Nothobranchius furzeri: one gene and its partner. The protein of the gene in region 2 interacts with the protein of the main gene of each other region in a biochemical or structural test. Links are inferred from orthologs where the notes say so. Each region holds a gene or a part of one and is shown on either strand. Other genes may lie near its edges.

What was found.
Region 1: the proteins of nufip2 (region 2) and fmr1 form a complex in vitro, tested with the Homo sapiens proteins (2 studies listed by BioGRID and IntAct, with this or other methods). The link is inferred for Nothobranchius furzeri from reciprocal best matches to the Homo sapiens genes NUFIP2 and FMR1.

Annotation. Positions count from the first base shown.
Region 1 is NC_091741.1:30,646,292-30,650,117, forward strand, and holds part of fmr1 (fragile X messenger ribonucleoprotein 1), read right to left. Parts: intron 2,283-3,826; coding exon 2,230-2,282; intron 2,128-2,229; coding exon 2,034-2,127; intron 1-2,033.
Region 2 is NC_091750.1:49,402,291-49,406,216, reverse strand, and holds the start of nufip2 (FMR1-interacting protein NUFIP2), read right to left. Parts: upstream 2,511-3,926; 5' UTR 2,415-2,510; coding exon 2,267-2,414; intron 2,060-2,266; exon of another isoform or gene 1,924-2,059; intron 1,511-1,923; exon of another isoform or gene 1,375-1,510; intron 971-1,374; coding exon 1-970. UniProt on the Homo sapiens protein: Binds RNA.

The DNA of each region.
Region 1 (3,826 bases), on a different chromosome or scaffold from region 2:
TCCCCTAGGAATTTTTCCAGCTGTGGCAGGGGGGGGGGATTATGCCACGTCTCTAAATAAAGTACAATTTTCCAGTGCAGATTGGAGACAACCCATAGAAGCACTGATTTGATCTCATTTCAGAGAAAAATAGAACAGGTCAGATGTACCTAATGAATGAAATTACTAACAAACTCAGGAATGTTTCTTTGCTTCACTGTTCTGGTGCTGAAAACATCACTAATGCGGATCAAAGGAGATACACGGATGAATGCACGTCTTATTTATTATTTGAGAATTACATTTAGACAGAGATTGTTTCTATCGATACACGAGTTTACAGAATCATTTTAAATGTTAATAGGGGAAGACTGCAGGAGGCAGCGGTAAAATACAGGGGGTCCCCAGCAAAAACAAGAAACCTTACGAGTCTGATGAAACCCGCTGGTTTTCCATCAGGCAGTCACGGGGCAGCTCCAACGACCCAGTGGCTGTGCTGGGTCATGTTATCGAGCTCAGTCCGGTACCGGCTCGGCCGTGAACGAGCCGAGGCGACGTCGTGCTCTGCTTAAGAAGAAGCGTTATTTTCCCGCTTCAGAAGAAGCGTCCAACGTGTTTTTACGCTTTCTCCGAGACATGTCACGTCGCTAATGTAGACATGTAGCGCTGCGCGCTAATACTTAGTGCAGCGTAGCCTGCTGGAGGTTTTAAGGGTTCGGATGAAACACCCGACCTCTCACGCTGCTCACACATCGATCTTAAGTTGTCGCTGTTGCGCTCACGCCGTAATACAGTATTAGATGTGGTTAAAGTCAGACATGAAGTAATAAATACATTTTACATGAATAAGTGATGATTAGCCTGGTGGGGGAGGAGAACCTGGCCTAATAAGCACTGGAGGAAACCCTGTCAGGATGGTCAGCACTCGTTTATCTTAATGCTGCTGAAACATGTAAACGTAAAAGCATTATATCCACTGCTACCTTTCTGATTTTAAACTCAGTAACTTATGCTGTAACTGCACCCTGCCCTGCCTGCTCCTTTCTTCTTGCTGCTCGCCGGCTGTGATCACAAGCGACAACAACATAGTAGTTCCCGCTGCTTCTTCGGGAAACAGTGCAAAAATAAATAAATAAATAAATAAATAAATAAAACTTGGGATCTTGTAGGCGTGGCGGCAAGATTTCAGCCGTGGCGGGCCGCCACGGCTACGCCTATGTAAGGGAAACCCTGTAACTACATAAAAAGGATCAAAGCAGTAACAGGAAGTGAGCTGATGCCATTTGTTGGAGAGCCCTGGCAACGACAGATACCGGCGTTGCGTGTCTCCATACCAACGCAGACGTATACATTAGGCCTTGAGGAATATTTGTAATCACACTTTAAAAGAATTATTTCAGCTATAATTGACAAGGTCCTTGTTTTTTAACGCTTTAGTGCGGTTCAGGGTTGACAAATCTGAATACTCTGCTTTTGTGCCGACACATTTATGCTATATTAGGCATGTCCCGATACAACTTTTTCACTTCTGATACGATACCAATATTGCAGCCTTTCAGTATTGACCGATACCGATATCTATCCGATACGATATCAGCACAAATCCTACATACCGGTTTTGTAGTGTGGAATGTATGAAAGGCTTGATCAAAAGATGTTACTTAATCAGAGAAGAAGAGCCAACAATAGTAAGTATGAAAAAAATGACAACATTTTTTAACCATTGGTTGCCAACAATGTGAACCTTAACGGACTGCTTACATCAGAGAGTTTTGATGCAGTCTGATATAATCCGATAGTGTTTTTGGGCTGATATCGAATTACTTCCGATATCGATATCGGAATGGGACATCCCTCTGCTATATTAATTATTATGATTACAATTAAAATGGAAAGGCTGAACTGCTGGAACAGTTTGTTCTGTGGGTTGGAGGTGAAAACTCTAAACCAGAGTTTTAGTGTTTTTGCCACCTAAAACATACTTGTCCTTCTATTTCCTGCCCTTTGGATGAATACCTGAACCTGCTTGTCCCTGAGGTTTGAACCCTTCTCACCTCCACTTCGTCGCTTTCGTTGATCTCTTTGCTGAAGCCCGCTGGAGGAGGGAAGCGGACATCCTGGAATGGGATCTGACGTTCCGGCTGCCAACTGGATCGGACAAACACAAACATTATTTAATCCTACTATTATTGCGTCAGATGTATTACTATAAAGCTTTACTGTCGTGTGTGTAAACATTATATTACTCACTTGTTTTCAAAAGCCACGGTGACAGATCCCTCGTGGACATCTTTGATAAAAGCCTACAAAAACCACAGAAATGAACAGAAATGTTCAACAAAGGGGGTGAGTGGCCACACCTCCACAGTGACGAACGAGGAGGTAGATGGATAACCAGCCCTACACGGTATCCAAGTATGTAATAAGTGCTAAATGATCACGATTCAGCTACATGCTTCCCAAACTGACAACAGCATGTAGCTGAAACACATATTAAAATGTGAAGCTGCAAGTTGTAGAATGAAGTAAACGACATCTTGTGGTCAAATTTGATTACAGCAATCTGTAGCGTCCAGCGATGGTCAGTTTTAGGTACAGTCTGACCTTTCAACATCTATTCAACACCTGGTCAGAAAGGAGACACAACACTGCATGTGTTCCCTTTAAATGAGCCTGCCTTCATACCAGCTGGGGCTCACAGACTCTGCAGCTCTGAAAGATAAACAATAACTTTCTTTCCCAAGGTCCCATCTGGCTGCCTCCACAGAAGGAACAACTCCAGCTCGAATGAGTTGCTAAATTCAAGAATGATTTACTAAATCAATATGAACTTCTTCCATGACTTATAATCTAGATAATCATTAAATAAACATTTGTTTATTACTACTTACAATAATTATAGTATAATGAAATGCTTCATTAATCTGTGCTCACTGAATGGATGTTATGTTATGTTTATGTCTACTAGAACCCGCCATGTGTTCAACATGTTTTGACGACGAGGTCCTCACGCCTGCACTCACAATAACAAGTACGGTTAAGTTAAACTCCAACACACAGAGACTTTTAAACCAGTCAGAACGTCCCGTATCAAGAAGGCATGTTTCTGAGTTGTCTTGGTAACATCTCTCAAACCTGTCAGCCTTTGATTGGCTGTGCAAATCATAACATCAAAACCTTAAAACTGGATCATCCTGAGTGATTCGAGGGTTCTGGAGAATCGCTTCAGACCGGCCACCTGTAGTAAACCTCTTTAGCCATCAAAGATTTTGACACGTCGTCAAAACCTTTTTGCACCTGCGAAGCTGATGAGCAAACAGCTCCTGCAGAAACAAAGCTGATACTGTGAGACTCCTTAAGAGTCTGCCAGACGCACGGTTCCATCCAGCTGTTATGACCCGAGACATCTCTGGACTGAAGAGTCGGTACCACGGTATTCTACAACCCTCCGGTGCCAAAGATCAGCCGACCCCTGCGACTTTCGGATCCACCAAGAGGGTCTCTCAAAAATGGGTGAAGTAGACATGATAGATTGCGTCTGATGTTCTTCTGATGATAACAACTTTATAGCTTAGAGCAAACCAAATTCTGTTCACCAGAACTCAGCTTACTTTGATAAGGAAGCTCTGACTGACACCGCATTCACACATTGGTTCTTTCATCACGTTTAGTTACATTCACTCACAGTAAATGCTTAGTTAATTAGTCATGTTTTAATTGTTTGCTAAATAAATTCTTACTTTTATAAACCTGACTCTTTCTTGAAGTAACACGAAGTGTGGTTGATCACTGAAAAAGCAAAGAACCTAGATCTTCTGAATTAAAACCTAGAATCTTCAGTTACAAT
Region 2 (3,926 bases):
TCGCCACTTGGGACAGACAGGGCTGATTGAATACAACTAGCAGCAGGAACGAAGAAGGTGCCAGCAGACGGGCAGCCGTTTCCATTTCCAGAAACAGGACCATTAGTAAAGCTAGCTGAGGTGATAGTTTTCATAGCAGACATCGGGACTTGAGACAGTCTCATGGGAGGAGGAACCACTTCTCCACTTTGAGCTACTTTATTGAGGTTCTCTTTTACTTTACTTGCATAACTGATCTTAGGAACGATTTTAGCACTGCTATTGTCCACAGGAAATACGGGAGGGGGCTTGAACAAAGTCCACGGGTCCTCCTTTGAAGGAGAGGAGAGTTTGCCTTTGTGCCGTTCCTCTGTTTTCTTACCAAAGGTGCCAGCTGTTTTGCCATCGGAGTTTTTCCTTTGAGATTCCCCCACTGTAGTCTCGGGAACGACAGCTCGTTTGGCAGCAGACTGGGTAGATCTGCCTTTCTCAGTCGCCTCAGGATTCAAAGCCCCCAGCTCCTGTGTAGTGTTGCGGGGCTGCATGTCTCTCTCTTTTTCTTTTGTCACATTATCAGTGTTCTTGGCATTGTTACACCTGGTCTTGCGTTTCTTCGGAGTGGTGTACCCGCCTTCGGATCCGCTGCCATCATTGTCCCTGCTAGAATAGCCATTTGTAATGAAGCCACAATTTACGACACCGTTGTGAAGCAAAACAGAGTCTTTCTTATCCAAGCTCTGGAGGTCATCGTGAGTCAAATCCAGAGTCTTTTCCTTGTCATTTTTAAAGTCCATATTCTTCTTACGGTCCAGAAATTTGCTGCTCGCTTTTGGAGCAGGCGTGTAGAGCTTCTGCGCCCCTTTTTGCTTTAGACTGGCGTTGTGCGCATGTTTGTTACCATTGCCGTGGGAAGGAAGCGACATACCAACAGGATCAGACAGACGTAGATTCCTCTCTCCTTCCTCGTCGCCAACGTTTAATTTTTTATTGCCTAAAAAAAAAAGGAAAGAAAATAAGACGATGTGGAAATGATAGGACTCTACAGACACCACAAAATCTAACAACTATACGTTTATGGTTTGCAGTTTCTTGGAAAGTGATGTTTTAAGATTAGCCAAACACTTATTATGCTACAATTATCACAATGTATTAATGGCACACCGCATAGGAAAGGTGGATGGATACAGGAAGCACAGATTTACAGTGAAGCATCATGACTAGGCCTCTGAAGGCTCAGATTCGTGGGAAGTGCTGTGTCAACGTGGGACTTCCTACTCCACAGTGCTTCTCCACCCCAGTAACATTTATTGGCACAACACACCTCACATTCCTGTCACAGCCAAAACAATTAGTTTCATTTAGCAAATGTACATTTTACAGCGACTGTCAGCTTACGTTCGCTTAATGCTGACAGAGCCTGATCAGCTGCGTGGCTTCTCCAGACAACATTCAAAAGGGCCTGTCAAATGGCTAATGTCTGCTAATATCGCCTAGCTAGTAGCGGACAACGATAACACCACAGTACCGGTCGACAATGACGCGTAAAAAAACGTCCACCGTGTCGTTGTTGTCCATATTTTCCTAACTAGCCGGTTAGTGTTGCGTTAGCTAACTGTGATATTCTGACATGGCCGACCGGAAATGGCTGCACAGAACATTCCAGCGGAGCCGGCTCGGTTTCCTACACTGCACAGAGCTAACTGGAATAACATCAGTACAATTTAGGCCACTGTTACAGAAGAGTTGTTTTGTTTAGAATACAGAGGGACATAAGCGGTGTTTTAGAACATATTCAGCTACATAAGCCATTTAAAATTAGGCGGTGAAACCGGTGTTGTGCCGAAAAAAAGCGCCCCTGCCATCACTAGCACTCTTAGCGCAGAAAGCTAATCCCAAGGTATGTTCTTTTACCAATACACCGAGTAAAAGTTACAAATGACATACCTCCTCGTGTTTTTCTGGACCGCTGAGGACACAAGTATCTACATTTATATTAGAAAAATTAATAAAGGGTTCTTTTTTTCGGCACGGCACCGGCGCACAAGGTCAATCTGCGATCTGTCAAACCACCAGCAGCGACAACGCTCACGCAACGTCAGCAGATAGCGAGTATAATGTGTGGTTTCTCGTGTGACACTGGCTGACTATCTGTCTGATTAACCAGCTGCTCCGCCCGTCCTCAAAACTATTCGGGGCAGCAGCTAGGAGCTAGCTGGCTCCCAGTTACGTTAGCTAGCGAATGCTAGTCGGCTCATTGACATTAGCCGACTTTTCAGGGCGGCCCGACCTGTTTTCTTCGTCTGCGTTTCCTGATGCTGGCACTGGAAGTGGCTCTGATCATTTTTCAGACAAGCTGTGCGTTGAGTAGAGTTCCTGTCCTCCCCGTGGTGGTGGTAGTGCCTGTCTTGTGCCCGATCTTTGGGCTGTTCCTCCATTGAAGTGAAGAATGTCGGACGCGTTCCGCCTGTGTGTTATTAGCTCTCAGTCCAATCACTACCAGAGTCAAACGGAAGCTATTTGAAGCCTCTGTAAACGTCAGCAGTAAAATGTCTAAAAATGGCCCTGTTTTGGGTGGTCACTCCTCTGAAACCCACCTTTAGAATCAACTCCTAGGTGCTTAAAGAGTATTTCATAAGACTTTAAAATGTGCGCACACGTAGAAGTTTAGGATAACACGGGAGTGATTTCAAATTATATATATATATATATATATATATATATATATATATATATATATATATATATATATATATATATATATATATGGAGTGTGAAATAACGGGGTGGGGTTCGTGGAAGAGCCTAAATCATATGACCCGAGGCGCTGCCACGTCTCCAGCTAGTTGACACATTAGGGTCACAAGAGACCAGCCCCCTCCAAAAATGGAAAAGCAGTTAATTTATTTGCGTTATACAAAATTTTCTTGCTGCTGCCTAATGCATATATGATCAGCTTATTATAAGAAAAATTGACGTGTTTGTAAAATCATGCACATTTTTATTTTTACATGCTTTACCTGGCTGGAATCACACAGAGCCACATTTAAGGAATAAAAACACTGATTATTTGATAGACAGCATATCAATATTATTTATGTATTGCTTTGATTTATTCAACGGTAATTATGAAATAATAATAATAATAATAATAATTATTATTATTATTATTATTATTATTATTATTATTATATTTTTGTTGTCTTGTGGTAGTTGTAATAATTAAATAGTCGCGCCAGTGACTCCCTCTAGCGGCTAAACATATAATTTTCTAATCTCGCTTTAGAGCAGGAAAGGAAACACAAGGACAAATGAATCACCTAACTTCACCATTGTCTCTGGACTCAGAATAAAACCCACACGTATATAATTTAGCTCTACCATTTCTTTCTTTTTTCAACATGTCTCAACTGATGTCTGAAAACTGTGAAAGTTAAGTATCTATAGTAAAATAGACCACGCCTGTTTTAGCCTGACACTTTTTGCTGATATGTGCAGCCCTACTTCACCTTTAAAATGTGCACGTGACTGCTACTTTGACATAAAATATTCATATGACTGCTTCATTTAAAGGCAGGTTTTATTTTTTAAACGACAGGTTTTAGTGAAAGGGTTCTCTCCAGGGCACAGACATGCAGTATCTTTAAAATAAAAACGGTGTTCTGGCAGATATCGAGGGGTTTAAGATGCATTTTCTGCTGTGATATTTTTATTAACTCAGAGAAAAAGTTTTAGTGAAATTTTAGATTAGAAAGGAATTCATGGAAGTGTGGATTTAGTGTAAAGCACCTAAAAAGCATGTTAATATTTCTGACTAACAGCTTATTCTGACTGAAAATTAAAACATTAAAAGTACTAAAGCATTCGTATTTATTTTAATCCATTTCTTAGTTTTAGATGTATCAACAAATTTTAGGGAAGTAATTTGTTTAGCACTTTAAGTTTCACAC